4 linked regions of the Pelodiscus sinensis genome follow. The protein of the gene in region 1 purifies or fractionates together with the protein of each later gene. This does not show direct contact. Links are inferred from orthologs where the notes say so. Each region holds a gene or a part of one and is shown in the gene's direction. Other genes may lie near its edges. The genes, in order: U2AF2, TRA2B, SF3B2 and PSMA4.

The links.
Region 2: the proteins of U2AF2 (region 1) and TRA2B purify together in Homo sapiens (affinity purification with mass spectrometry; 4 studies listed by BioGRID and IntAct, counting the BioPlex papers as one, with this or other methods). This does not show direct contact. The link is inferred for Pelodiscus sinensis from reciprocal best matches to the Homo sapiens genes U2AF2 and TRA2B.
Region 3: the proteins of U2AF2 (region 1) and SF3B2 purify together in Homo sapiens (affinity purification with mass spectrometry; 3 studies listed by BioGRID and IntAct, counting the BioPlex papers as one, with this or other methods). This does not show direct contact. The link is inferred for Pelodiscus sinensis from reciprocal best matches to the Homo sapiens genes U2AF2 and SF3B2.
Region 4: the proteins of U2AF2 (region 1) and PSMA4 fractionate together in Homo sapiens (co-fractionation; 3 studies listed by BioGRID, with this or other methods). This does not show direct contact. The link is inferred for Pelodiscus sinensis from reciprocal best matches to the Homo sapiens genes U2AF2 and PSMA4.

Annotation. Positions count from the first base shown.
Region 1 is NW_027465849.1:3,175,596-3,183,113, reverse strand, and holds the start of U2AF2 (splicing factor U2AF 65 kDa subunit), read left to right. Parts: upstream 1-4,507; 5' UTR 4,508-5,056; coding exon 5,057-5,105; intron 5,106-7,518. UniProt on the Homo sapiens protein: Plays a role in pre-mRNA splicing and 3'-end processing. By recruiting PRPF19 and the PRP19C/Prp19 complex/NTC/Nineteen complex to the RNA polymerase II C-terminal domain (CTD), and thereby pre-mRNA, may couple transcription to splicing.
Region 2 is NC_134720.1:3,414,438-3,422,365, forward strand, and holds the start of TRA2B (transformer-2 protein homolog beta), read left to right. Parts: upstream 1-4,886; 5' UTR 4,887-5,009; coding exon 5,010-5,045; intron 5,046-7,928. UniProt on the Homo sapiens protein: Sequence-specific RNA-binding protein which participates in the control of pre-mRNA splicing. Can either activate or suppress exon inclusion. Acts additively with RBMX to promote exon 7 inclusion of the survival motor neuron SMN2.
Region 3 is NC_134721.1:32,231,637-32,238,924, reverse strand, and holds the start of SF3B2 (splicing factor 3B subunit 2), read left to right. Parts: upstream 1-4,249; 5' UTR 4,250-4,442; coding exon 4,443-4,557; intron 4,558-4,733; coding exon 4,734-4,780; intron 4,781-6,205; coding exon 6,206-6,283; intron 6,284-6,677; coding exon 6,678-6,929; intron 6,930-7,288. UniProt on the Homo sapiens protein: Component of the 17S U2 SnRNP complex of the spliceosome, a large ribonucleoprotein complex that removes introns from transcribed pre-mRNAs.
Region 4 is NC_134724.1:39,552,096-39,559,321, reverse strand, and holds the start of PSMA4 (proteasome subunit alpha type-4), read left to right. Parts: upstream 1-4,197; 5' UTR 4,198-4,333; intron 4,334-4,617; exon of another isoform or gene 4,618-4,795; intron 4,796-5,019; 5' UTR 5,020-5,036; coding exon 5,037-5,039; intron 5,040-5,558; coding exon 5,559-5,601; intron 5,602-6,294; coding exon 6,295-6,457; intron 6,458-7,226. UniProt on the Homo sapiens protein: Component of the 20S core proteasome complex involved in the proteolytic degradation of most intracellular proteins. This complex plays numerous essential roles within the cell by associating with different regulatory particles.

The DNA of each region.
Region 1 (7,518 bases):
GTCCTGACAGTGGTGGCCTGGTTAAATGGGTAGGGTGGGGCTGGCTGGACCAGACTCCAAGGAACACACCAGGCTCTCCTGCCCGTAGGGTTGGTCTGTCTGCACTGCGGGAACGGGCCACGGGGCCAGGAGGGGACCGGCCCCACAAGCACGGGAGGTGACACTGGAGAAAGCAGGTTGACCTTCTTTTAGGTCCAGGTCAGGCCTAAAAATTAGGCCTGAGCACAATTCTGTGGGGCAGAGGAGTGGGGTGGAGGGGGGTGGGGCTTTTCCTCATGAGGTGGTGTGGGCCCCATCTAGGCACATGCCGGGGACTGGCTGGCTCAGGGAATGAGGCCTGGAGCTGCTGGCTCGAATCATGACCCAGCTTGTCAATTTTACCCCTACAGTTCTGGAAAAGGTCTGACGCTGGGGGGGCGGGTGCTGTGCCGATTGGCCATACAGGCTGCTAGAAACTGTGCTGATTGGCCATCCTGGCTCGATCTCCAACTGGAGGGCGGGGTGTCTGGATCCTGGACCCAACCTGCCTGCCTGCCTTGCCTTCCTCACCTCCCCTGCCCTGAACTGCTCCCCTCAAATCCACGCCGCATACAGATCCCGCGTCACTTAGAGACCAAACCTGACCCCCCCCACCCCGCTCCTCCTCCTCTCCCCCCACACCCTGCTCCGTCACCTGCTAATGCCGCCCTCACCCCGTGCCCAGGGCAGTGTGGGTACTGACTCCATCTGCTCCCGCCTGGCACCGATGAAAGCACTAAATTGGGTGCCTCACCCTGCCCCCCTCGCAGGGTTTTCATTGAGTTCCTCCGTTCCCTGGTTTTTTTTGGGGGGGGGGGGCGATTTGTCCCTCCCCTGCACCGCGGCCCCGAGCTGCTGGCCCTGTATGTGTACGTGAGTGCAAGGGGCGCCAGGCCGGGACGCCCCTTTTAATTCCGTGTAACAAACTCTTCTCCACCGTGCCTGTTCTTTCATGCCCTCTCTATGTTTAAAAAAAAAAAAAAAAAAGAGAAAAGAAAAGAAAAAAAAAACTACAAAAATCAATTTATTAAGAGAATTTAAATTAAAAAAAAAAAGAAAATTTGGAATAAATCAAGGCCTGAGTCTCATTTACTTATCAAAAGTTTCCCTTGGGCCTAAAAACAGGCGCCTCTGGGGTGGGGTGCAGAGACTGTTTCGATGGAGACACTCGTGTGGAAATGCGACCAGCTCTGGGGTGGGTGCTCTATGGAGAAACCCCTCACCGAGTGCTGGAATGCAGCTGCCTCTGGAGTAGGGCATTGGGGGCTTTTTATACCATAACCTCTCACCTGGTATGAGTCAGACTCTCTGGGCCAGGAGCTATTTCGCGAGGGACCCCCTCCTCTGGGGCTGAGATGTGGTCTGATTGGGTGCAGGGGCTGTTCTTACAGGGCCCCACTGCCTGGTGCAGAGGGGGTCCACGGAAGTGATCTCGTGCTAAGCTGGCCCAGTACCGTGTGAGATGGGCACGTTGGGCTGATCTTCTGTCCCAGAGCGGTGCCGTCGGCCCACGCTCCCCAAATGGGGCTGGTGGAGCACGAGGGAGAGAGCCCCTCCCCCCCGAAAGGGGCTGGAGTGAAGATGGACAGAGGCCCGCGTACACACAGGGCCCATCTTGGCCCAGACCTGGGATACCCTGTCCCCTGAACCTTTCTGTGCCATGGCCCGGAATCCCTTTAGACCTCAGGAGCCCCCCACTCAAGCCAGAGGAGTTCTCCAGCCACCTTGGACTGGCCCCCTAGAATAAGAGGCTGGTATTTCAGATAGGGTGGCTATATCCCTTTAGCATGGAAGGGTGGGGTCGTGCTGAAAGAACAGAACTCCGGGAGAGCAGTGGGGTCTAGTGGTTACAGGCGGGCCTGGGAGCCAGGACTCTGGGGTTCTCTCCCTGGCTCTGGGAGGACAGTGGGGTCTAGTGGTTACAGGCGGGCCTGGGAGCCAGGACTCTGGGGTTCTGTCCCTGGCTCTGGGAGGACAGTGGGGTCTAGTGGTTACAGGCAGGCCTGGGAGCCAGGACTCTGGGGTTCTGTCCCTGGCTCTGGGAGGACAGTGGGGTCTAGTGGTTACAGGCGGGCCTGGGAGCCAGGACTCTGGGGTTCTCTCCCTGGCTCTGGGAGGATAGTGGGGTCTAGAGGTCCAAGCAGGCTGCTCTGAGAAAAGCCCTGGGAGGAGAGCCATGATTTTGGGACCTCAGGAATGATGATTATGGGCCCCTGCTGTTCCTCCTTACACTTGGGGCTGCCTCCTCCATGGATTCGGACAGTGCCTGGTACGAAGAGGCCCACAAAGACCTCCACTCCATGGCCCCTCCCCATCCGTCTCTGGGGGGCGCTTTGGAACGCTGCATCTCACCCCCGTGAACTCCAGGCATCCGTGGGCAGCTGTTTAGTGACTCTGACCGGAAAAGGGACACGGTCCCTGGCCTATGGTCCCTACAACCTGGATGCTGAGCTCCGTTAGCCAGCTCTTTAAATGCAAAAGGGAGGCTGGCTGTGGGGGTCTGGATTTAGGGTGTGGGTGTCTAGGGCCCCATCTGGGTAGGGGCTAGATGGGATTGGGGAGAAGTGACTCTGTTGGGTGGCCTATATAGGGGGCTGGGTAAGTGAGGGGCAGGGGGCCAGGCAAGGGATTATATTTAGTTGTGTGTGGGGGGGTGAGGTAGGGTTAGGGAAGGAGACAAAAGGCTCAACTTGAGGGTGGGTATTGGCTTGATGGGGGAGGGCAAGAGGATGGGATGGGGGGAAGGGTACCACTGGGGAGATGTGGCCTGCCTTGGGAGGCGAGGGGCTGGTGGGGGTAAATACACAGGTAAACCTGGCTCCACCCACCACATCAATGCTGAATCAATGCACAGACCTGCATCTTCCAAGCACAGAACCAGGCTGGAGGCGCAGATCAGATGTTTACATAGGAGTTGGGACACACCGTGGTGCCTCAGTTTCCCCACATTTGTCTCTTTCGACTGTAAGAACTTCAAGGGCAGCAACCAATGCAACACAGGCCTCCACCCTATGGAGACTATGGGGTGGCTAAAGGGAAGTTATGGGACTCAGATGAGGGAAGTTGTGGAATGTCTGGCTAGTGGGGGCTTCGGGGGTGACAGTGGGGGACCGTGGGTAGCTAAAGGCAAATTATGAGGCTGCTGTGAGGCACAGGGTGGATGTCTGGAGTAGTGGGGACTACTGGGCTCAGTAGGGCTATGGAATGTCTGGGACAGTAAGGCTCAATAGGGGGCTAGCAGGAAGTTATGGGGCAAAGGCTGCCAGCCCACCAGGATTATCCTGGAGTTCCCAAAAATGGAACATTATCAGAAGATGAAACCTCCAGGGATGAGCAACCCTTTATAGGGTGGGGGGGGGGGGGGGTCTATGAGGGTGGGAGTAATTGAGGAATTATGCTTTGCTCTGTGGGGCTATAGGGGACTGGGAGGGGCTCAGTGAGGTGGTTATGGAGACAGGGTGACCATGGGGCTGGGAGGGGCTCAGTGAGGAGGTTATGGGGCATGATGCCCATGGGGGCTGGGAGGGGCTTAGTGAGGGGGTTATGGGGGTAGGGTGACCGAGGGGCTCAGTGAGGGGGGCTATGGGGCAGGGTGACCATGGGGCTGGGAGGGGCTCTGTGACGGGGCTATGGGGGTAGGGTGACTGAGGGGCTCAGTGAGGGGGGCTATATAGGGCAGGGTGACCATGGGGGGGCTATGGGGCAGGGTGACCATGGGGCTGGGAGGGGCTCAGTGAGGGGGTTATGGGGGTAGGGTGACTGAGGGGCTCAGTGAGGGGGGCTATATAGGGCAGGGTGACCATGGGGGGGGCTATGGGGCAGGGTGGCTATGGGGCTGGGAGGGGCTCAGTGAGGGGGCTATGGGGGCAGGGTGACTGAGGGGCTCAGTGAGGGGGGCTATATAGGGCAGGGTGACCATGGGGGGGGCTAAGGGGCAGGGTGGCTATGGGGCTGGGAGGGGCTCAGTGAAGGGGCTATGGGGCAGGGTGACTATGGGGCTGGGAGGGGCTCAGTGAGGGGGCTATGGGGCAGGGTGACTATGGGGGGGGCTAAGGGGCAGGGTGACCATGGGGCTGGGAGGGGCTCAGTGGGGGGGGCTATGGGGCAGGGTGACTATGGGGCTGGGAGGGGCTCAGTGAGGGGGCTATGGGGCAGGGTAACCATGGGGCTGGGAGGGGCTCAGTGAGGGGGGCTATATAGGGCAGGGTGACCATGGGGCTGGGAGGGGCTCAGTGGGGGGGGCTATGGGGCAGGGTGACTATGGGGCTGGGAGGGGCTCAGTGAGGGGGCTATGGGGCAGGGTGACCATGGGGCTGGGAGGGGCTCAGTGTGGGGGGGGGGGGCTATGGGACAGGATGCCCATGGAGCTGGCAGGCCATCAATGGTGATGGGAACCTAGGAAGCATGGAGGGGGCGGGGCTCTAGGGCAGTTGTGGGGCTTATGGGAGTGGGAGGAGCTGCCCTTTGCCCCCATACGCCATTTCCGCCCCCTACCGGAAGTGGCCTCTTTCTGGCCCCTTTCCCTGCGACCGCGCGCGCTCTCCTCTCTCGCGGCCGGGAAGGCGGAAAGAGCCGAAGCCCCCTCCCCCCGTCTCCGGCCGCAGCCGAAGCAGCGTTGCGAAGAGGCGGGAGGGGAGGGCGGAGCCGAGGAGCAGGCGGAATCTTCCGAAGCCGCGGCCCGGGCGTGGGCGGAGTCTCCGCGCAGAAGGAGCCCGGAGAGTCCCCGAGCGCGGGGCGGAAGGAGCCGAGCGGCGGCGGAGATCCCCGAGCGCGGGGCGGAAGGAGCCGAGCGGCGGCGGAGATCCCCGAGCGCGGGGCGGAAGGAGCCGAGCGGCGGCGGAGATCCCCGAGCGCGGGGCGGAAGGGGCCGACTGTCGGCGGAGCTCCCCGAGTGCGGGGCGGAAGTAGCCGAGCGGTGGCGGAGATTGCCGAGCACGGGGCGGAAGGGGCCGAGCGGCGGCGGAGCTCCCCGAGCGCGGGGCGGAAGGGGCCGAGCGGGAGGCGCCGCGGCCTGTGCGGGAGCGAGGCGGGGGCCGCGATGTCCGACTTCGACGAGTTCGAGCGGCAGCTCAACGAGAACAAGCAAGGTGGGGGCGGGGCGCGGCCGGGCCGGGGCCCCCGGGGGGCCCCGTAGCGTGCGGGGGGGGGGGGCGCTTCCCGTCCGTCCCCGGGGCCCCCCCCGCCCCATAGCGCCCCCCCGGCCAGCCCCATGGATTCCCCCCGCCCCCTAGCGCCTCCTTGGCCAGCCCCATAGCGCCCCCCCGGGTTCCCTACTGCCCCATAGCGCTCCCTAGGGCTTCCCCCCGCCCCATAGCGCCCCCCCCAGGTTCCCTACTGCCCCATAGCGCTCCCTAGGGCTTCCCCCCGCCCCATAGCGCCCCCCCCCCAGATTCCCTACTGCCCCATAGCGCTCCCTAGGGCTTCCCCCCGCCCCATAGCGGCCGCCCCCAGGTTCCCTACTGCCCCATAGCGCTCCCTAGGGCTTCTCCCCCGCCCCGTAGCACCTCCCAGGCCAGCCCCATGGCCCCCCCCCCCCGGACTCTCTCGCCACAAAACGCTCCTCCCCGCCAGCCACATGGATACCCCGTGCCCCATAGCGCCCCCCCGGGCTTCCCCTCCCACCCCATAGCGCCCCCTGGCTAGCTCCCTAGCTCCCCCTGCACTACAGTGTGCTCTCTCAGGCTCCCTACCACACCATAGGGGCCCCCCCTCCACCCCACGTTTTTTCCCCCCACCTCCACAGATTCCCGCCCCCGTAAACCCCCTCCCCCCTCTGATCCAGTCCTATGGATTCTTCTACCCCATAGTTTCAAGGTAGTCCCATGGGCTTCCCATCTAGGTCTTCCGCTAGCCCCATGGACCACCCCCCCTATACTTCATCTCCTAGACCCTCCCCAGCCCAGAGACCCTTAGCTAGCCCCATAGATTCCCTGCCCTTTCGGCCTCCCAGCCATCCCCAGAGATCTCCTGGTCCATGGCTCCCCCCCACTCCCTATAGTCCCCTGCTTCTATAGATTCCTAGCAAGCCTCATTTCTCCCCTACCCCATAGACCCTGCATGTTTTACCCTTTTTGAGCCTCTCCCCCATGCTATAAAAACTAGCCAGCCACTTCTGCCCCCATAAGTGGTTTTTTGCATCTAAAAGCCAGGGTTGGAGTTAGGGCAGTTGCCTGCAGCCCCATGGCACTGGGCCCACATGAAACTATATTGTCCCGGGGGCAGGGCTCAGGTCCCTGGATTTCATTCTCATGCAGCAGGGCTTCATACTAGGCCCTAGCTAGTCTAACATTGGCCCAGCTTGCCCCCTGAAATTTGCTTGTACCACCCCATTGAGAATCACTGCAGGACCCCCACCCCCTGTTCCTCAGCCTGCCCCATAGCTCTTATTCCCCTAGTCCCAATAGCCATGCCTTTAGCATCCCTTCTCCTAAGCACCCCCTTTCGCACCCTGCTCCATAGTCCCCTTCCAGCTCGTGGCCCCCAACCTTTGAGTGCCTCTTACGCCCCCCCATAGCCTTCCAGCTGGCTACCCTTTACCTCCCCACAGCTTCTCCATCCTCCGCTTCCCCTTTCCTCTGCCAGTGCCTGTCTGCCTGCCCCATAGCAGTGCCAGACCCCATGCTCCTGCTCCACCTGGCCCCCAGCAGCACCCCAACCTGTGCTGGTGCCCAGAGCTCCCTGCCCGCTTCTTGAGCACCTGCTCCCATTTGTCACCACCTCCCAGCCTGCCCCTGATTGCTCCCAACCCGCCAGCTTTCCCTGTGCCCCACTCAATCCCCACAGCCCCCTCCCTGCTGCCCCTTTGCCGGCAACCCCCCCCTCCTCCCCCAGGCAGCCCCTGCTTCTCCTGCCTAACCTTCTCCACCCTGTATCCATCCCCTTGGGCAGAGACGCTGAATTTTGATTATTAATTGTAGCAGGCTAGGGAGAGGTTGAAACATGTGGGTGTGCTCCCCCCCCCCCCCCACTAGGTGGCGGGGTGGGAGAGAGGGGCAGGAACACCTTCCCCCACTCCCGGCAGCCTCAGGCCCCTCCGTGGGGAGAGAGGGAAATCCAAGTTATCCCCTTGTGGCCGTCGTCCCCTCCTGGCAAATAAGCCCCAAGGGGTGAGGGGAGGGGCAGGTATCACCCTACCATGGGGCACCCCAGGGCTTAATGTCTGGATGCTGGGGAGCGGCAGCCAGAGGCAAGTGTTTGGAGCCAGGTGTGAGTCTCTTGCCCGTAATAGAATTGGGGGTGGATGCCCTGCTTGGAGCTTTCAGAGGGAAAAACCCCTCTGAGGATCCAGACCCGGGACCTGCATAGGTTTAAAATCCCTTGTGTGGCTGGGAGATTGATCCTCTCTGTTGCCTGTGGAAGGAAGCACATGGGACATCCTGCTGTGGTGTAAAGCGGAGTCTGTTCCAGCACCATTGCTGTCCGCCGAGCCCCTATGCAAACAGCAGAAGATTGTGTTTTGGGAGCTAGCTTACGTCAAAGTGCAGCGTGGCTCCAGAGCCA
Region 2 (7,928 bases), on another chromosome or scaffold:
TACTGCTGCTGCTGCACACTGAGTACATGTTTTCAGAGAACTATCCACAATGATTCCAAGACCTCTCATGAGTAGTTGTAGCTAAATTAGTCCCCATTATATTGTGTGTATAGTTGGGATTATTTTTTTCTAATGTGCATTACTCTAAATTTCATTTGCCATAGTTGCCCAGTCACTTAGTTTGGTGAGATCTTTGTGAAGCTCTTCACAGTCTGCTTTGGTCTTAACTACCTTGAGCAATTTGGTATCATCTGCAAATTTTGCCACCTACCCTTTGTTTCCTGTCTTTTAACCAGTTACCAATCTATGAGAGGACCTTCCCTCTTATCCCATGACAACTTACTTTACTTAAGAACCTTTGGTGAAGGACCTGTCAAAGGCTTTCTGGAAATCTAAGTATACTGTATCCATTGGATCCCCCTTGTCCACATGTTTGTTGACCCCCTCAAAGAACTCAAAGTTCTGCAATCAGTCCCTTTGTATCTGTTAGGACACGATCCAAGAATTCCCCCATGTTATTTGCAATACTATTTGAATTAGAAAATTGTCATTTATAATGTGTAGACATTCCAAGGATGGTTTAGTACTGGCAGCGTGAAACCTCCCACATATGTCACTCAGACTGAAGTTCCCCATAAATATAAAGCATTGCCTTCACATTATAGACAGGGCTGTGTGAAGCACACTGGTTCTCAACCAGGGTCTGGGGGCCTCAAGCAAGTTTTAGGGGGTCCTTCAAGTAGGGTCAGTGTTATGCACTGAGGATCAGGGCAGAAAGCCACAGTCCCAATACATGGGGCTGAAGCCTGGAGCCCTAACACCTATGGCCGAAGCCAAAGCCTGAGCAACTTAGCTTCATGATGTCCTCTATTGTATCAGGCCTCAGGCAACTGCCTTGCTTGCTGTCCTGTAATGCCAGCCCTGGTTTTTATATGGAGAAAACTAGTTGTTGTAGCACAAGTGGGGCATGGACTTTTCATAGCAAATTTGGAGGGGAGGGGAAGGGGGGCAGAAAAAAATAAAGTTGAGGACTCCAGGTATAGCAGGCACCAGCTTGTGCTTAGTCTGTTGGGACTTTTATTCATAAGCATGCCTAGGGAGGTTGTGGAATCTCCATCACTGGAGATATTTAAGAGCAGGGTAGACAGACATCTACCAGGGATGATCAAGACAGTGCTTGGTCCTGCCGTAAGGGCAGGGGACTGGCCTTGATGACCTCTCGAGGTCCATTCCCATTCTGTTGTACTATGATTCTATGATCATCTTCTTCCACGTTCTTAGTGACTTGGAAACAGGTACTGCCTCTTGTGACATAGAATGCCGTTGCCCATCTCTGTTTGTCCATTTGACCCTTCCTAAATCGGTTATAACCATTGAGTCTAATTTTACAGCTGTGCAACTACATCCAATTTGGGTTCCTAAAAATGCAATTCTAGTTTCTCCTGTTTGGAACCCAGGCTGCTGTATTACCATATAGGCAATACAATAATTTATTCTCTTCATGACCTTTGGTTCTTTGATTAATTTAATTCTCAACATCTCAATTTTGTGCTGCGTGCTCATATCTTCTCTCTTTTTACCTACTCCTTTTATATTAGTTTAACCCCCTCCTGACTAACCGAATAGCAAAAGGTGAGATGCAGAACTTTTCTGCCAGCATTGCTAGTATGTTTCGAGGAGGCATTCTATGTCAATAGAAAATGCCTTTTGCTGCTTTAAGTTGCATCTACATCAAGGAGCTCTGAAGGTACAGCGTTGTCAGCTAGGGAGTGTGTTATTTCACACCCCTGACCAAAATAGCTATACTGACAAAACTTTATAGTGTAAATCAGGCCTCAGTAAACACTATTTTGATCTCTGACAAAATTAAGGCTGATTTTCCCTTTCCTGACTGATTAAAGCAGGTATTCGCTGTATGTAACACGAGAATATGACTAGTAAAAGCAATACTTTTCTGGTGACGGCATTTAAAATGCCAGTTATTTTAAACAGCATCCTTTGTGAAATTGTCAGGTACACTAAGAATTTGCACCAATACATCAGTCCATGCTATATGCTCCATTAAGCTCTTGCTACTGGCACCCAGGTTGAAACTGAGTCATTGTTTTTTCTTGGGTAGTGAGATAATCTTGGGGAAGAGGCAGATTAGACTGACACCTCAGTCCATGTGAGAGGGTAGAAGGGATTAAATTACCATACCAACAAGAACTTGTTTCTTGTCCTCTGATCTCCAGCCATGCGCAATTTTGAAATGTGGAAAAAATGTCCAGGATTTTTCTTTTGTTTTTTGCAGATCAGAAAAAGTCACCCCACAGAGCCATTTAGGCTCGTCGGTGCCCAAGGCAAGCAGGCCTACAACCTCCCCATCATTATTTTGCCTCTCTGGCTTTGGGCCCTGGGTAGCTGCCCCACCCATCCTGCCTGGGTTACACCCTGCATCTTTGCATCCACAGCTGCCGGATCACGCCCTGGCCTGGCCCATCAGGTAAACAGAGCTGCCAAACACCTCTCAGCCAGGCCGCCTGCCCCACGGCAGGGCCTCATAGCCCAGCCAGGAGGGGTCACAGGGCCAGGTCCCAGCTCCCCACCCTGGAGAGAGAGAAAGGGCGGCGGGGAGGGCATGTGCTGTGTCAGCCTGACAGGGACACATGGCACTGCCCCCCAGCAGGCCCACCCATATATCCTGGCCAGGATTTCCCATATACCCCTCCCACTACAGGCACCTCCCAACTACCCCTCCCAGTGCCCCCAAAATGCCCCTCTCTGGGCACACCCAGCAGCCCCTCCGCATTGCCCCTGGGGAACTGGACACATGGGAACCCTAAGGGCTGGACTCCCCCTTAGTCCCGGGGAACAAAGAACAGGACTATGTAGCACTTTAAAGATTAACAAGATAACCTCCCTGATAACACCATCCTTGCTACCATGGATGTAGAAGCTCTATACACCAACATCCCACATGAAGATGGATTACAAGCGATTAGAAACACTATCCCAGAGGACACCACTGCCAACCTGATAGCAGACCTATGTAACTTTGTTCTCACCCACAATTATTTCCAATTTGAGGACAGCTTATACCTCCAGATCAGTGGCACAGCCTTGAGTACCCGCATGGCCCCACAGTACGCTAACATCTTTATGGTTTCCTCAGATCCTGTCCCCTTTTACCCCTTCTCTACTTACGCTACATCGATGACATCTTTATGATCTGGACGCATGGCCAAGAAACACTGGAGACATTCCACAGAGATTTTAACAACCTACACCCCACCATCAATCTCAGCCTGGACCATTCTACATGAGAGATCCATTTCCTGGATACCACAGTACAAATCACCAATGGTAAATTAGACACCACTCTCTACAGAAAACCCACTGACTCATACAGTTACCTTTATGCCTCCAGCTCCCATCCAGAACACACCATATGATCCATCGTCTATAGCCAAGCCCTTCGATACAATTGCATCTGCTCTAATCCCATTGACAGAGACCAGAAACTTCAGGATCTCTACCAAGCATTTATAAACTTCAATTACCCACCTGGAGAAATAAAAAAACAAATTGAAAGAGCCAGACGAATACCCAGAAACCATCTACTTCAAGACAGATCCAAGAAAACCAACAATAGAACACCACTTGTTATCACCTATAGCCCCCAACTTAAACCCGTCGAACACATTATCAATAAACTACAACCTATACTAGAACAGGATACTACACTTCGAGAGGCTCTGGGAGACAGACCCATAGTCTCCTACAGAAAACCACCTAACCTCAGGATGATTCTTACCAACAATCACAGGACATACCACACTAGTACCAACCCTGGAACTTTTCTTTGCATCAAACCCCGTTGCCAGCTTTGTCCACATATTTACTCTGCTGACACTATTATTGGACCTCATCAATTCAATTATAAGATCAAGAACACATATTCCTGCTCATCCAGAAATATAATTTATGTCATCATGTGCCGACAGTGTCCGCCTGCTATGTACATTGGACAAACGTCTCAGTCGCTTCGCCAAAGAATCAATGCCCACAAAACGGATATCAGACAGTATCATAAAGAAAAAACAGTGATAGAAATGTAGCTGTGTTAGTCTGGGGTAGCTGAAGCAAAATGCAGGACAATGTAGCACTTTAAAGACTAACAAGATGGTTTATTAGATGATGAGCTTTCGTGGGCCAGACCCACTTCCTCAGATCAAATAGTGGAAGAAAATAGTCACAACCATATATACCAAAGGATACAATTTAAAAAATGAACACCTATGAAAAGGAAAAACAGTTTCTTGCCATTTCAGCCAGAAAGGGCATTGTCTCAACGACTTGATTACCTGCATACTGCTTCAAAGGCATTTTAACGCCAGACTTCAAAGAGAAACCTCTGAACTGTCAGTCATGCTTAAATTTGACACTTTACGCTGGGGTCTGAACAAAGATGCTAATTACCTTACCCATTACAAAGATAGCTTCCCCAGTGATCACCTCTAACATCATCAGCTCACAGACATTTACCTCCCCCCATCCCTCCTCTGTTCTGAAATTTGATTTGTCCTTTTTATATGTGTTCACTTTTTTTGATTGTACCCTTTGGTGTATATGGCCGTGCCACTTTTCTTCCACTATTTGATCTGCGGAAGTGGGTCTGGCCCACGAAAGCTCATCCCCTACTAACCCCTCTTTACAGCGCTGCATGGTCCTGGCTTTTGTTCCAGCTACACCAGGCTCACAGGGCTACATCTCTAGTATCAGTCCCGGGGGAAGGGGACAGGTGGGGGCGGGGCCAGACTCCCCCCTGAGGCGGGGGCGGGCGGGGCGGGGCTAGGCTCATCCAATCACCGAGGGAGTTCCAGCCCACCGGATGCGTCGCTCGCGGCCGGCTCCCACAGGGGCGGGGCTGGCCAAGGGCGCGCGTCACTTCCGTTCCTGGCAGCGGGCACAGGCGCCGGACGGCAGTGGCGGTTGGCGCGACGGTTGCTGACGGGCTGCGCGGGACAATGAGCGACAGCGGGGAGCAGAACTACGGCGAGCGGGTAATACACGGAGCCTGCGTGCGCAGCCGGCCGGGCCCGCACAGCGCCAGCGCGGCCCGGCCGGGGCGGGCCCGGCCTGCGCCCACCGGGGCAGGCGCGGGCCTGGGCTCGCGGGCGGGGCCGGCGCGGGGGCCGGCGGAGCCTCCGCGAGCAGCGCGCGGGGGGCCGGGGCGATCGAGCTGGCGGGGGTTGGCGCGGGAAAATGGCGCCGGGCCGCTAATGGGGGGAGGCGGGGGCGCTCTAGCCGCTCGGCTGCCTGCTCCATGGTGAGTCCTCCCGGCGCCATCTTGGGCTGGGGACCCGCCAAAGGGACAAAATGGCCGGGCGCGCGTGTGCTGCCGCTCCCGGGAAGCGCGGCCACGAGCCGGCCCGCCCCGCCTCCCGCACTTGGGCTGGCCCGGCCCGGCCCTGAGGGGGGGGCGGCCGCCCCGCAGGCCCCTGGGGCTGGGCTTGCGGCTTCCGCCTCCCCGCGGCTGTCCCCGTGCTCCGCGGAGCCAGCCCCAGCCTGGTGCCTGAGCTCGCGGGGAGAGGGGCGGCGTGTGGGGAGGGCCGGGCGCGGACACCGAGTCGAGGAGCTGCCGGGACGCTCGGCGCTGGCTGCAGCGACACGTGTTAACGGGAGCGCGGACTCCGACTCGGGGCGGAGCTTTCACGGTGTCTGTCCGGCCCCAGCCGCGAGCATTGCTCTCCTTGACCCCCCAATGCGAGCTCAGCAGGGTCCCGGGTGCCTAGGGTGGCTGTGTCTTCGCTTGTGGCCTGTCTCCTCGAAGCTGGGAGCGCGCGGTGCTTCAGACACCAATCCTGTAGACTTGTGCTTGGTGCAGCTATGGCCGATTGATCAGTGGTTGGGAAACCTCTGCGGGGACCACAACAGTGTCCAGTCGTTCTTCCTGGTCCTGCTGCAAAACTTGATACTTGTGTCCTTTGATAATAGTGTTCATGATTACTTTGCGCAAGTAATCCACCTCTGAATGTTTAATTAATTACCAAAAATTGTAATTGCCTGGGTGAGTTAAATCTTCAGACTTTTAACTTTGATTCTTAATTACTTGTAATTTGTCTAAAAAAAAATCTTAAATTTGTCCCTTGAAACAGCTACAATTTTAGTCCTCACACACACACACTTTGGCCTCTTGAGCCATGTTTCACAGTAACTTTAAAAGTGTGTCTGGACAGTACTATCTGACCTGAAATTGCAATCTGACCTGAAGTTGGGTTCTGCGCACTGTGATTATTGGGGCATTATTATCCTTCATGTTCACGAGGGATGCACAATTAGTTGTGAAAGCCTAGTTGTAGTATTGCAGTTATCGCACTGTGATTATTGGGGCAGTATTATCCTTCATGTTCACGAGGGATGCACAATTAGCTGTGAAAGCCTAGTTGTAGTACTGCAGTTACGATACAGTACAAAGCATCTTCAGAAACAAGCAGTATTTACTGCAAAAATGTTCTTACGCAAACAAATGGAAAGTAATCAGAAATGGAGAGATGAATTATTTAGATAGCTGCCAAAAAAAAAAGACTCATCAATGCAATCCACATAGATAAACTAGTAATTCAAACCATGCAGAATTTGAATGCCTGAGACTGATGTAGCTGTTTATATTTCTACATATTGGTTGGTCATAGGGATGTTAAAATGTTTAGCTGGTTAAATGCTAGTGATAAACTAGTTAATAGTTTAACTAGGGCCTGCCAGAGCTGCTCCGGCCCACTGGCCGGCCACTGCTGGAGTTCACCTGCAAGGGCCAGTTTACCAGTAAGCCTTATGTTCCTGGTTAACTGTTTAATAGCATAGTTGGTAACCTGTTACGGAGATTTTGTGTTTCCTTTTATTTTACAGCAAAATTAAGCTTTCAATGGAAATCAATATGTAAGATGTTAGTATGAAATCATAAATTGTCTCTATACTCATCTTTTCAGTAGCACGTATAGAATTTCATAGTTTGTGCAGATTTACCAGTATTGGACAGTAGTACTGGACTTTTAAGAGTATAGCTACAGATTATTGCAGGTAAGAGCATTAAGGAAGTTGTGGCAAACTTCCAACCGATCCCTGGGCTTGACTTGTGTTTGGACCCTCCAGCCCTGCATGCACCTGCTTCTGTGTGAACACAGTTGCAGTATAGACCCAAAGGGGTTACCTTTGACTAGGGATGTAAGTGACTAGTCAAGTCACTACTCAGCTAGTTGCTCCCGTCTTCCTTGCTGCCTCTATTAAAGGCAACCAGTGGAGGAGCAGAAGCCAGTGCTGGGAGGAGCTAACCCCTCTGCAGGTCTGCAGTTTCCCCCCTTATCGACTAATCAAGCAGTCAATGGAAATCTGACTACTCAATTAGTTGATTAAGCATAATTTAACATCCTTACCTTTGACCCCAGGCCCAAAGAAAGATTTACATTGCAGTGTAGATATAGCCTAAATCAGGGGTGGGGAGCCTCAGGCCCAGGGGCCGGATGTGGCCCCCAGCTTGCCTGGATCCAGCCCCTGAGGCTCAGCCTTGGGGAACCCATGCAAGTGCTCCAGCCTCCCACTAGGCTCTAGTGTGCAGGAGGAATGTGGGGAGTTTCTTTCTTCTTAGTCGGGGTCTTCTCACTTTGCTCCCCCCCCCCCCCCCCCGACTCATTTTTTATGGGTCAGTGGCCCACATCCCAAAAAAAGTTCCCCACCCCTGGCCTAAATGATCAACAATTGAGGGCTTGGTTCCCTTTTAAGTGGCATGGTACTTGGAAGATGCTAGACATTATCAGATGTTTTTCTGAAAGACATTTTAGGTTAGTGTTTTTCCAGTCTTTTCATGTCTACATCTTGTACTTAGACCAGCATGTTTCTGAAAGAAAAAAACATACTTACCATTTATATACCATGTAATATATTTCCTC
Region 3 (7,288 bases), on another chromosome or scaffold:
CCTGGATCTCCCGTCTGTCTTGTTTATAGTTTTCTTTTAAAGTCTCTCTCCACACCCTGTGTTCTTAGAATCATAGACTCATAGAGCTGGAAGAGACCTCAGGAGATCATCAAGTCCAGCCCCCTGCCCAAGGCAGGACCAATCCCAACTAAATCAATACAGCCAGGGATTTGTCAAGCAGAGACTTAAAAACCTCTAGAATAGTGATAGAGATGCAGCCATGTTAGTCTGGCGTAGCTGAAACAAAAGACAGAACTATGTAGCACTTTAAAGACTAACAAGATGGTTTATTAGGTGATGAGCTTTCATGGGCCCATCTTGTTAGTCTTTAAAGTGCTACATAATTCTGTCTTTTGTTTTAAAAACCTCTAGGGATGGAGATTCCACCACCTCCCTAGGTAACCCATTCCAGTGCTTCACCACCCTCCTAGTGAAATAGTTTTTCCTAATATCCAACTTAGACCTCTCCTACTGTAACTTGAGACCATTGCTCCTGGTTCTGCCATCCGTCACTACTGTGAACAGCCTTTCTCCAGCCTCTTTGGAACCTCCCTTCAGGCAGTTGAAGGTTGCTATCAAATCCCCCCTCACTCTTCTCTTCTGCAGACTATACAAACCCAAATCCCTCTGTCACTCCTTATAGGTCATGCACTCCAGCCCCCTAATCATTTTGGTCGCCCTCCGCTGGACCCTCTCCAATGCATCCACATCCTTTCTTGTTTTATTCCTCTGAGGATTGGAGCACCTTGTGAAACATATCCTCCTTGGTTGCTTCCAAGGCACCCCACTAGTGTGTAGGTGTGACAGTGTTCCCAAGGGGCAACCTGAACAGTGATGTTGCTGAGCCCTCTGCCCTATCAACCTGGGCTCTCTCTTATACTGTGATGCCGTTTGCAAGCCACAAACCTCTGGTAGGTACTGCATGTACACAGACTTCCATGGACAGGACCATACCCACGCTGAGTTACATGAATGCTCCTGTCAGTCACTCAGGAACCAACAATAGACAGGTTCCAGCCAATTCCCCACAACTTTCCAGCTTCGAACACCATCTGTACCATCTTGCTCCGGTAGCCTTGTTCAGCCAAACCGCACTGTTGTAGGTTTATTAACTACAGTAAGGTAGATTTTCAGTGATCATAAGTGGTAGGCACGAGAGATCAGAGCTAGTTATCAAAGGAAAGAAAAGAAAACAAAACAAAACAAAAGAAAAGGGCACAAGCTAAAGCTTAACCCTGAACACACTAGGCAGTATTTAGATCTAGCAGTTTATAGGGATGTAAAATCCTGATTAATTGGTTAACTGGTTAAATGCGATGTTTAGCCAGTTAAAGGGGGCTGGGCTGAGCCCGTGCAGCCCCTGCTGCAGGCAGGAGCAGCCCCTGCCTGTGATGCACCTGGGCCTGCCGCAGACAAGAGCTGCTCTAGCTGGGCTGGAGCTACCCCTATCTGTGTGGGCCCTATTGGGGTGGAGCAGCCCCTGCCCACAGCAGGCAGGAAGCTGTTGCAGTCCCCACTGGTTAACTGGAGCCAGTAAGCATCAACTGTTAAGGGTTAACATTTTGGGTGCTTAGCAGTTTACTCGCCCACGGATGCTACACAGCTCTTAATACACAGGCTTCCCTCTCACTCCCAGAGCAGTCCCACATAGGATTGCCAGGTATCCGGTTTTGAACCGGACAGTCCAGTATATGAGCTTTCTATTCAATAAACAAATTGAGAAAATATAAAATTTGGAAAATCATGGAAGATGGGAGAGATTCCAGAAGACTGGAAAAGGGCAAATATAGTGCCCATCTATGAAAGGGAAATGAGAACAACCCGGGAAACTATAGACCAGTCAGCTTAACTTCTGTGCCAGGAAAGATAATGCAGCAAGTAAGTAAGGAATTCATCTGCAAATATCTAGAAGATAATAAGGTGATATGGAACAGCCAGCATGGATTTGTAAAGAACAAATCATGTCAAACCAATCTGATAGCTTTCTTTGATAGGATAATAAATCTTGTGGATAAGAGAGAAGTGCTGGACAAGTATACCTAGACTTCAGCAAGGCATTTGATACGGTCTCGCATTATATTCTTATCAATAAACTAGGCAAATACAACTTAGATGGGGCTACTATAAGGTGGGTGCATAACTGGCTGGATCACCATTCTCAGAGAGTAGTTATTAACAGTTCACAATCCTGCTTGAAAGCTATAACAAGTGGGGTTCCGCAGAGGTCTGTTTTGGGACCGGTTCTGTTCAATATCTTCATCGACGATTTAGATATTGGCATAGAAAGTATGCTTATTAAGATTGCAGATGATACCAAGCTGGGAGGGGCTGCAACTGCTTTGGAGGATAGGGTCATCATCCAAAATGATCTGGACAAATTGGAGAAATGGTCTCGGGTAAACAGGATGAAGTTAAATAAGGACAAATACAAAGTGCTCCACTTAGGAAGGAACAATCAGTTTCACACATATAGAATGGGAAGTGACTGTCTAGGAAGGAATACGGCAGAAAGAGATCTAGGGGTTATAGTGGACCACAAGCTAAATATGTGTCAAGAGTGTGACGCTGTTGCAAAAAAAGCAAACATGATTCTAGGATGCATTAACAGGTGTGTTGTGAGCAAGACATGAGAAGTCATTCTTCCTCTCTACTCTTCACTGATTAGGCCTCAGTTGGAGTATTGTGTCCAGTTCTGGGCACCACATTTCAGGAAAGATGTGGAGAAATTGGAGAAGGTCCAGAGAAGAGCAACAAGAATGATTAAAGGTCCAGAGAACATGACCTATGAAGGAAGACTGAAAGAATTGGGCTTGTTTAGTTTGGAAAGATGAAGACTGAGGGGGGACATGATAGCAGTTTTCAGATATCTAAAAGGGTGTCACAAGGAGGAAGGAGAAAAATTGTTCTTCCTGGCCTCTGAGAATAGAACAAGAAGCAATGGGCTTAAACTGCAGCAAGGGAGGTTTAGGTTGGACATTAGAAAAACTTCCTAACTGTCAGGGTGGTGAAACACTGGAATAAATTGCCTAGGGTCGTTGTGGAATCTCCATCTCTGGAAATATTTAAGAGTAGGATAGATAAATTCTATCAGGGATGGTCTAGACCAGTGGTCTCCAACCTTTTTAAGCACGAGATCACTTTTTTAATTTAAGTGCAATCCAAGATCTACATCACACCCAAATACCCTTGCCCCGCCTCCTTTGTGCCCCTTCTCTGAGGCCCCGCCCTCCCCGCTCACTTTCACCCTCACTTTCACCAGTCTGGGACAGAGGGTAGGGGTGTAGGCTCTGGACTTGAATTAAGGGATTTGGAGTGTAAGAGGGGCTCTGAGCTGAGCTTGGGGCAGGCAGTTGGGATGCTGGAAAGGGTTCTAGGTGCAGGCTCCGGCAGGGCATTTGGATGCAGTGCTCCGGGCTAGGGCAGGGGCTTAAGGTGTAGGAGGGGGTTCATGACTGGGGCAGGGTTTCAGGATGTGGGCTCCAGCTGGGCCCTGCTTACCTCAGGTGGCTCCTGGGTGGTGGTGCAGTGGGTATAAGGCAAGCTCACCCCTGCCCTGACCCTGCTCGGCCAGCAAACTCCATTCCAAGCAAAAGCAGCCGGCAAACTCCATCCCAAGACTTGTTGTGCCCCCTCTATGCCCTTGGAGATAGGACACAGAGTGGGAGAGGGGGCTCCCTGACATAAGCATCCTCCTTTCCCTCCCCTGCCCAGTAAGCAGGAGGCTCTTGAGGAGACAGCTCCAAGACAAACGGCAGGAGAAGGGCAGCAGTGGGGGTGGAGGGCAGCTGAAGTGCCGGCACTTGATAGCTTCTTGCCCAAACCAGTCAGGATCCCCTGTCCGAGGCTCCAAGATCTACCAGTAGATCCGGATCTACTGGTTGGTGACCACTGGTCTAGACAGTAGTCGGGGACTGGACTCGATGACTCTCGAGATCCCTTCCAGTCCTAGTATTCTATGATTCTATGAGATGAGAAAATATAAATGTCTGGTATTTTCTAAAGAAGATGTAATGTAGAGTGTGGTGTAATGTAAAATGTGTCCGGTATTTTTGTTGAAACCATCTGGAAAATGGCTAGTCCCACACTGGCCACTCCATCTCTTCAGAACTACAATTCCCAGCATGCAAAGCTCTTTGAGGTGGGCGGGGTCAGCGCCTCCTTGCCTTAGAACTACAACTCCCAGAGGACAGCGCGGTAACTCGTTTCTTTTTACTGGCCACGTGCGCGCTGATGCTGCTTGCTGCGGAGGCGCTAAGGTCTACGATACCGAGAAGGCGGCGCGCGAGGCTGTGCGTGTTGACGTTCGTTACGCTGGATGCGCCGCCGCGGCGTACATTGCCGGAACGCAGCGCTTCTTCTGTTTAGCGGCGGGCCGCCCGCCGCGTGGTGACGTATGACGACGTCGCCTACGGCGGCTGTTCAGGGTCCGACCGGGCGGGAAGATGGCGACCGAGCACCCGGAGCCGCCGAAGGGGGAGCTGCCGCTGCCGGCCTACGGGGCTTGGGCGCCCGCCGAGCTGCAGGCCAAGCTGGCGGAGATCGGGGCCCCGGTTCAAGGTGCAGCCCCGCGGGGGGCGCTCAGGCGAGGGCGGTGCTTAGGAATGGGGCGGGAGATACCGGGGGCTGCGGGGGGGGGGGGGGCGTTGCTTGGCGCTGCCGGGGGGCAGGGGCGGGCGGGGCAAACGGCTGGTGGTGGCTCAGGGTGGCTCTGACGCTTCATCTGTATCCTCCAGGCAGCCGCGAGGAGCTGGTGGAGAGGCTGCAGACCTACACGCTGCAGGTGAGTTACTCGCATGGGGGAGGAGACCCGCTCTGCCACCAGACATGGCCTCCCCTTGGCCGGGCCATTAGCGCCAGCCCTAACTCCCCCACCCCTCTCCTCTAGCTGAAAGGGATCTAAAGGGAGCCCCGAACCTAGGGCTGGCAACCTGCAGTGGGAGACTTTACTGCCTGGCGTGCACTGTGGTGTCACACGACCTGTGGGTATGGTAGAGGGGTCTTCCACCTTCACTGCCCCAAAGCCACATGCACAGTGTGAGCAGTAAACACACTCCACAGCCTTGTGATTAGTGACATTGACTAGGAACCAAGAGGCAAGCAGCCTGCATTCCCTGGCATTAGAGCAAATGAGCAGCATTAGGTAGTGAAGACTGATGCAGTGGTTAGGGCATCAGCTGCGGCTCAGGAGACCTGGGCTCTAGTCCCTACTCTGCTACAGACTCCCTGGGAGACCTTAGGTGAATCACCCAGAGTCTTTGGCCCTTAGTTTGGCATTTGTATCATTGGGCTAATAGTGCTGCCATCCTGTAAGAATAAACAAATTAACAAGTGGAAGGTGTTCAGATAGTGTGTTAACAAGGGCCAGAGAGGTACCACTCAGCTTCAACTGTAAGCTGGGTTGTGACCATCCCCTGATTGAACCATCATGGGTGCTAATGACTTAAAGGAAATTGTGAATTTCCTCATAAGACTGGAACGTGTGGGTGCTATAGCTGTGTGAGGTGGAGGACGTCAGTGACATAGACATCACTGTTCAGATGCCACGAGGGTGCTCTGTCCTAGTGAGGGTCCTTAAGGCTCCATCTGGGCTACTATATTCCTTCCTGTCACATGGTACAGCAGGGTTTGACTAGCCCACTCTCCCGCCCAACAGCAGAGAGATAATGGCAAGTGCTCTGTTGTGGCCTCTGCTCTCCACCCCAGTATGTCTGTGGATGTTGATAGTAATCAGCAGGGCTCACCGAGCTGCAGATCGCCCGAATCCAGCTCTTCCGGGATGTAATCTACTCGCCCATGGCGAGTAGATTACATAGATAGTCGAGCCCTGGTAATCAGGACAACTGTTCTGCACACTGGTGGGAGATGGGCTGCTGATGTTTGGACTACTGGGGGTGGTTTTATTTCTATCCCCATCTCTGTGCCACATGGCCCTGGGCCTTCTTGGTATCAGTATCCCCATCTGGATTTCTGTCTTGGTTGTGGTATTTTGTGTTGTGAAGGTCTTTGTGCAGCATCTGCAGGTTCCATCTTGCTTGGAGAGCTCCACCTTATTGTCTGTCCTTGTGGTGATGGAGAGTTGGTCTCCCCAGGGCCTGGATTTCCTTTCCTGACCCAGAGCATGTCAGTGAGGCCTCTAAGAGAAGCTCCCCAATGGACAGACTTTCACTTGCTTTGCAGCTATATTTATTGTGTCCTCCCTCCACAGACTGGCATCGTGCTGAGCAGGCCGTCTCTCAGGGGAGATGACGGTGACAAACCCACCCCGCCACCAATACCCGGACAGGTGAGTGAAGGGGTCATAGAGAGGAGGAATCTTGGCCTGGCTAAGCCACAAGGGCTTCCCTAGGGACTGGCTGTCTTGCTGTAGATTTCCTATGTTGAGAGGAGGCTGTCTGGGTGACTGACTTCAGTTGGTACTTCCTGCCAGGAGCTGTTGCTAACCCCAGCATCCTGAAGAGCAATACTGTTCTACTTTCATAAATCCATCCCACTCTTTCTGGGATCCAGGAGCTTCCTGCTCATGCTCACCAGTGCTGAGTGGCTCTTGAGCTGGTACTGCTGCATTTGCATTCGGGTGCAGCAACTCGGTGCTGGGTGATGGATCTTGGTTTAAATAATCTGTGATACTTCACACTCTGTGTTGGTCTTTACCTCGTCATCTCTTCTCTCATTTATAGCTCTCTGGGATCCCCTTGCCCCCACCCCCCATGGGGATGCCACCCATGCAGCCTCCACCACCCCCACCGCCTCCCCCTGGCATCAGCCTCAACTTCCCTATGGCCGTGGGGCCCCCTCCACCTCCCCCAGGTATGGGGCCCCCCCTCCGCATGCAGAGCGTGGACCCTTCAGCGCTCTCAGAGGAAGATCGTCTGAAGCTGGCGCAGCAGCAGGCTGCCATGCTAATGCAGCAAGAAGAGAGGGCTAAACAGGTAAGAGCTGTACTGCAGGCAGTGGGGTAGTGGTTTTGTCCTTCAGTGCTGGCTCCAGGGTGGCTTATGGGGTGCTGTGCTGTAGAGGTTCCGTCTTTGGCTCTCCCCTGTCTCAGTGCTGACCTAAGTGCCCTTGTGTGGTGTGAGCAGGTGCTGTGCTGCAGAGACCTGGGGGGCAGTGAGTGCTGCAGTGTGGTTAGCCTTGTGCTGCAGGATATCTGCTAGGTTATGTAGAACAGCCACTTTGTTTGTCAAGAGCCTGGGCTTTTTAATCCTGGCATCTTGGTTGCATCTTAGCTACTGTTTTGCCATTTGGCCTCCTTGAATCCCCCCTTCCCAAGTGTGATTTTAGTTGTATG
Region 4 (7,226 bases), on another chromosome or scaffold:
GGATCCAGTCCTGGGTGTCCTATGACTCCCAAACCACCAGGCACAGCCATGCTCACACTCTGCCCCCCAGAACGGCTGCTGTAGGCGTTCTTGGGGCAGAGTGTTGCTGCCTTGAGCACCTGCCCTCTAGGGTTGCCAGGTGTCCGGTATGCTCAGCATGCTGCCCTGTCTCCTCCCCTTCCCATGCAGGCCGGGCCTCAGCAGAGGGGGCAGGGTTGCAGGTGGGGTTGGGATCCTGCCTCCCCTACCCCAGCTGCACCTACCGTCTATGCACCTACCGCCTATGGATCTAGTTTTTGTCCATCTTTGTCTGACACAGGAAGTATATTTTCAAATAAATTTTCCATGTTTAATTTTGGCACAATACACAAATACAAAAATGTTTCTTTTAATCTTTGCCAGAGCATGCACATTTATAGCCAGCCGTGTGTATTCAGCTGCATCTCCCCACACCTTGCTCAGTCTTGCAGCTAAGCTTCTCCCAGGACTCTCCTAGCAGCTGTGCAGGAGGAGGAGTGTGACAACAGCAGAGGACTGATGTCAGTGTGTCCTCCTTCCCATTCCCCATCTCTGCAAAGCAGGGGTCGCAGAGAGCTGCTCCAATCTGAGGTATGAATGGTGACTGAGATGAGTGTTTCTCAAAGAGACAGTGAACTGTTTCTAAGATTTCTCCAGCAGCTAGCTCGCTCTCCTACACTCTCTGTATCACACACCACATCTAGTGTGTTATACACCCAGTCTGTCTGCCACCCACTCTGTCACACACTGTCTCTCTGACTTACATGTAGTCACTATGCACACAAGTACTCTCCCAGTCTCTGTGCCACAGTCACACTTAGTCTGTATCACATATACACACACACTCTCTCTCTCTAGCCCCAGCACCGTCCCTTTTGGCTGACACCCCACTCCTTCCGGGAGCCTGGACTAGGGATGTTAAATATCGGTTAATTTATTAGTCGAGTAGCCTCATGAATTCTTATCAGTTGACTATTCTATAGTCCCCAGGGGTGAGGCCAGCAGCCTATGCACTCGAGCCCCATTCCTGAGGAGTCCCCTGGAACTCTGCAATGCTGCCTCTGTATCAGAGGCAGCAGTATGGGGTGCCAGGCGGGAGCTGGTACGTGAGGTGAGCCAATTAAAAAACCTGATAGAGACAACAGCACGGGGTGGCAGCAGCCCATGTGGGGCGGCGGGGTGTCTGAACTCCCAGACCTGGTGCAAGCCGGAACTGACCTGGGCTGTCTGCCCGTCTTGCTCCTAATACACTTTAAATGCACAGCCACAGCAGCGGGAGGTCCTAGACCTATCGTAAGCCAGGATTGAGCCAGGCTGCTGGCCAGCCTACTAAAAAATTTGCTGGTAGGGGAGGGAAAGGCATGTAGTCTACAGCATTAACCGATATCAGTTAATCAATTACAGTATTACATCTGTAGTCTAGACCAATCCCAGACAACTTCCCCCTGCAAAAATTATTGCCAACTCCCAGACTGGGACATCATCCTTACCCATCCTGGCTAAGCCATTGATGGACCTGTCCTCCATGAACTTATCTAGTTCTTTTCTGAGCCCTAGTAGGGTGCATCTACACTGCACCCATACTAAAAATAAGCTATGCAATTTTAGCTACGCAAATTGCACAGCTTATTTTGAATGTGTTTTGAAATACATCGCTCTTCCAAAGTGTCCCTTAATCCTTGTGAAACGAGGTTTACAGGGACATCAGAAGAGTAAGCCTGATTATTTTTAAAGCTATTTCAAAATAACAGGCTTGTTTAAAAGATACGGAATAGCTATTTTGGGATACCAGAAGTGTCCTAAAATAGCGCCGCAGTGTAGATGTACCCGTATAGTCCTGGACTTCATAACATCTTCAGAGCATGCAGTTCTATAGGCTGACTATGCATTGTATGAAAAAATACTTCCTTTTATTTGTTTTAAACCTTCTACTATGGCTTGTGTTATGAAAAGGAGTAAATAACACTTCCTTAGTCACTTTTACTATACTCATCATGATTTTATGCCTCTATCATAGTCTCCCTTATTCATCTCTTTTCCAAGCTGACAAATCTATTTTATTAATCTGCCATGCCCCATATATTTGTTGTTGTCCTTTTCTTAATTTTTCCAATTTTAATATATTGTTTTTGAGCTGGGGCAATCACATCTACATGCAGTACACAAAATGTAGGCATACCATGGATTTATATAGGGGCAAAATTATATTTTGTCATGTTATTATCCCTTTCCTAGTGATTCCCAACATTGTTTGCTTTTCTGACTTTTGCTGCACATTGAGTAGATGTTTCCAAAAAATAATCCACAACTTCAAGATCTTTTTCTTAAGTACCATAAAATCTCGAGTATAATGCGTACTTTCCCCCCCGGTGTTTTAGGGTCAAAGCCTGGGTGTGCATTATACACAAGAGCTATTTTTTTTAAAGTTTTAAACTTCTCCTTCCCTCTGCACAGAAACTTTCCTGTTGCAGCACAGTGCAGGGTTGCAGCCTCACCAGGCTCCCGGACAAGGTGAGGAGCCAGCTGCTCCTTCAGGCTGCGCCCAGGGGCCCCCACGGCAGGCATGAGCTCAGCGCGGTGCAAGCTCAGCTGGGCAGGGGGACCCTGCAGCAGTCATGAGCTCAGTGCGGGCAGACGGCCCCGCGGCAGGCAAAGTGAGGAGCCAGTGGCACTGCTAGGCTGCATTGCATTGGCTCGCTGCCTGCCCTGTCTCAGCATGGGCAGCTGGGAAGGGGGCCCTGCAGCAGGCGTTAGCTCAGCTGGGCAGGGGGCCCCGCAGCAAGTGCAAGCCCCTTCCTTCCTATATATACCATAAAATCATGAGTATAATGGGGGTGCACATTATAGATAAGAGTTTAGTTTATTCAAGAATTCTGATGTTTAAAAGGGAGGTGCGCATTATACTCGAGATTTTACGGTAGTAACAGCTAATTTATACCAGGAGTGTAGCCACTGTTGTGCCTGAATGGGCCATGGTCCACCCTGCAGCCCTCCAGGGGTTTCCTCATATGGCCCAATACTGGTCCTCCTCTACCAACCCACCTGGCATGCCAGCCAGGGAGTGGAGCCAGGGCTTATTTTTCTCCACCTGGAGCTCCTGCTTGGGAGTGGGGCCGAGGCACCAGGCTTACCCCATTTTACCCACTGCTCTAGCCTGGGAACCAGGCCAGGACTTAACCCACTCTGCTGCTGCTCTAGCCCAGGAGCCAGGCTAGGGCACCAAGGTTCACCCTGCTCCACCAGGCGATCTAGCTGGGGAGTGGGGACTCACCACCAGGGCTTAGGCCCCCCACCACCATTGCCCTCCCATTTTAAGTTGGGCCCACTCAAATTGGCCCTTCTGGCTATGCCACCTCCCCGCTTGTGTGTAGCTGGGATTGTTTTCCAGGGCACATTTTGCATTTATCACCATTTTATTTCATTTGACATTTTGTTGCCCAGTCACCCAGGCTGTGTCTACACTGGGTCACTTATTCCGGAAAATCAGCCGCTTTTCCGGAATAAGCTGCGAGCTGTCTACACTGGCCCTTGAATTTCCAGAAAAGCAACGATGCTCTACTGTACAAAATCAGCCGCTATTCCAGAAAAACTATTCTGCTCCCGCTCGGGCATAAGTCCTTATTCCGGAACACTGTTCCGGAAAAGGGCCAGTGTAGACAGCCCAGTAGTCTTTTCCGGAAAAAAGCCCCGATCGCAAAAATGGCGATCGGGGCTCTTTTCCGGAAAAGCGCGTCTACATTGGCCACAGACGCTTTTCCGGAAAAAGAGCTTTTCCGGAAAAGCAGCCTGCCAATGTAGCCGCTCCTTTTCCGGAAAAACTGAAAAGGGAATAGTATTCCGTTTTAAGCATTTCCGGAAATTCATGCCAGCGTAGACACAGCCCCAATGTTGGGAGATCCTTGTGTAGCTCCTCGCCCTACTCGCTTGAGTGTCGCATGCTAATGTAACCCCTCACTTTCCAGATCATGTATGGACGCGCTGACTAGGCTCAGGCCCAGGACAGAGCCCTGCGAGACTCCCCTCTTCACCCCTCTGATTACTGAGAAGGGCACTAGGCCGCCGCGCCAGGCCACGCCCTGCTGTAGTGAGACAAGGCGCAGAGGGCGGAGGCCGCGGAAGGGCTCAGGGCTCAGAGCAGACGAGTCCTGCCAGGCCCTGTCTCCCCGGGCAGCGCGCCCCACCCCCAGCAGCGCCTAGTTGAGCCGGGACTCGCGCGTGCGCGGCGGCCATTTTGGGACGCGTCGAGGGGCCGGCTCAGTGGCCTGTGGCAAGACAAGTCTCTTCCCGGCGGCCCCCCAGCGCACCCCGCTCGGCGGTAAGTGGGGAGACGCCGCCTGAGGGGCGCGGCTGGGGTCGAGGACAGTAAGAGCCCCCAGTGTGCAGCGGGAGGCGGGGAGGCCTTGTCGGCGGGAGGCGGGGGGATGACGCTGCGGAAGCCGCTGGTGAACGGCTCAGTCTGGCGGGGCCTGCTTGGCCCGGCGGACTCCATAGCCCCTGAGCCTCTCTCGGGCTGTGGCTCCCGCGCGAGAGGGCTAGGCAGGGTCGGGCTGGCCTCCACCCCGGGAAGGCGGGCGGGGGGGGACTGAATTCCCAGTCGTGCAGGGGATGGCGTCTTGCCTGTCCCAAGTTTTCTCTGGGAATAGGAATGTTTCTGGGGAAACGAGGGGAAGAAACTTTCCCCCGCCTCGCCCCTTGCTCCGCAGAGAAAGCACTGGGCTGCTGCGTTACAGCAGTGCATTGAAAGGGGCTTTTGGGGGCTCAGCTACCACCTGTCAAGGTGAGTCCCATGCTCCCCTTTAATTAGCTCATCACTGAAGTTCGTGACTCTTAAAAACTTAACTGCAACCTTTTAAAATCCTTCTATAAGAACAATAAAGAAACGGAGGTTCTTTTATCGAAGGCTTATTACTGTAGTAAATATTTTTGTACATCATTTTCCGTGTCTGATAAATGTTATGCTCTGAAAACGTATTTTAATTGACTGGTTTTATTTTTTTACAGTGTAACATACATGCAAAATGGTGAGTTACTATTAATGAAATATATTTTTGTTGTTTAGTACAGTAGTATCATTAAGCTCTCTGCAGCTAAATAACTGTAAATAACAGAAGTTATATTCTTGAAAACACTTATACACCTGCTTAACTTTGCCCACATTAATTTTACCTAAATTAAGCACATGCAGAAGTATTTACAGTATTGGTTGTACAACTTTTGTGAGAGGAAGACATTGATTGGGATAGGGATAAAAGGAAAAAGCATTGACATTAGTGTAAATTGAACGCTCGTCTCTTGATTAGCAATAAAGGGTAAGTTCATAATACTATATATATTTTTGTTAGTCTCCAAAGTGCCACAGGGCTTCTCAGTTTTTAAAAGGTAACTAGTACAATAATAGTAACAAAACTACCTGTACATCTCACAGATATTAAAGTCAAATCACTATGTTACTGCTATACATGGTTAACAGAATTACAGAATAATGTTTTTTCTGTCTAAAAGGAAAAACAGTTACTGGAGTTTTTCTCTCTTTGTTACAGTCTCGAAGATATGATTCCAGAACTACTATATTTTCTCCAGAAGGTATTGTTCTGTAAATGGGAACCTTCTTAACCTATCAACTTTTCTCCTCATATATACCTAAAATTTTATACAATAGGTGACACATGTAAAAGTCTAGAATGTTGACAATTTCCTTGAGTTTCATTTCTGACACTGAAATCAGATCTTCACATTAAATGATACCCAAAACAATAAGGGAGTTCCTGGCCATAGTGGAGATATGCTTTAATTTTAATATTAATACAAAATCCAAACCATTGTTTAGTAGTACAATCTTACATTTTGGAATGATACAAGGAAAAAGTGTCCTAGTTATTGGCACATGAGGATTGATAGCCCATACAATAGTATCCTACCTAGAGTAACATTTGATGCTATTTATTCATAGAAGTGTCTAAAACTCCATTTGAATCTTGAAAAATCCATAATTGTCTCCGTTTCTGCTTTTGTAATTTTTTTGTAGATAACTTGTATTAATTGTCTCTCTAAGGACAATGTTTGTTTCTATCTGAACCTGCCACTGTGTTCATTGAATTGCTTATCTGATTCTGACCTGTTAAGTGACAGTCTTAGACTTGTTCCTGTGATATGGGGACATCTGTGAGAGTTGGCTGAGTTACGCTTAGTATGTTATATGAGATACTCAACACTTTGTAGACTTGGTCCTTTTCAGAGTTAAATGGTTGAATTTAACAATTGAAACCTCTTTTTTAGGTCGCTTATATCAAGTTGAATATGCTATGGAAGCAATTGGCCATGCAGGCACTTGTCTGGGAATTTTAGCAAATGATGGTGTGTTGTTAGCAGCAGAACGGCGCAATATCCACAAGCTTCTAGATGAAGTATTTTTTTCAGAGAAGATATATAAACTTAATGAGTAAGTTGAGTTTGTCAGTAAAACATGTTCATTGCAGTTATAATTGCTAATAGGACATTTGATTACTTCTGTCGTTCAAATAGCATAAAACAGTTTTACTGGTTTTATATTTGTTACTTTGAGGACTTTTGATTTCTTGAGTGAAATTTTTTACCGGGATTAGCTTTAATAGCTCTTTAAGACAGTAATTCTCAAAGTGTGGTCTACTACATTGGCAGTCCAGCCCTGCTCCCTCCCTTCCGAATGGTTGGAGTTTCAGCACTGGCTTCCCACTGCAGGGTAAATGGGGAAGATTCCCCGGATCTGGCTCATGGGGGGAGGAAGTGGCTCCACATGCTGCCACTCCCTCTTCCTCCAGCTGAGGGAAAGTCACTATTTGAACCCAAGTGGGCAGATGCCAGCATAGGAAACCACTCTCCTGGAGACTTTCTTCGCTGTTCCCATTGGCCAGAATCACCCCCTAATCCCCAAACTCCACACACCCATTGCCCTCCCACTGAGACCCCACATCCCCACTCTGCTTCAGCGCTCCACCTCCCAGTCAGACCTCTCATCCTCAGTCTGCTCCTGCACCCTACCTCCCATCCTGACCCTGCACTCCTATCTTGCTCTTCAGCTGTCCCCCTGGGCACACTGAACCCCCTCATTTTTGGCTCCACGTCAAAGCCTGGGGGCGCCTACAAAATTACTAACTCTGGGACCCCAGCAGAGTTATTCTTGCCTGTGGGGAGCCCTGAACTTCTCTCCTCCTTCCCCAGTCACTGTGAGG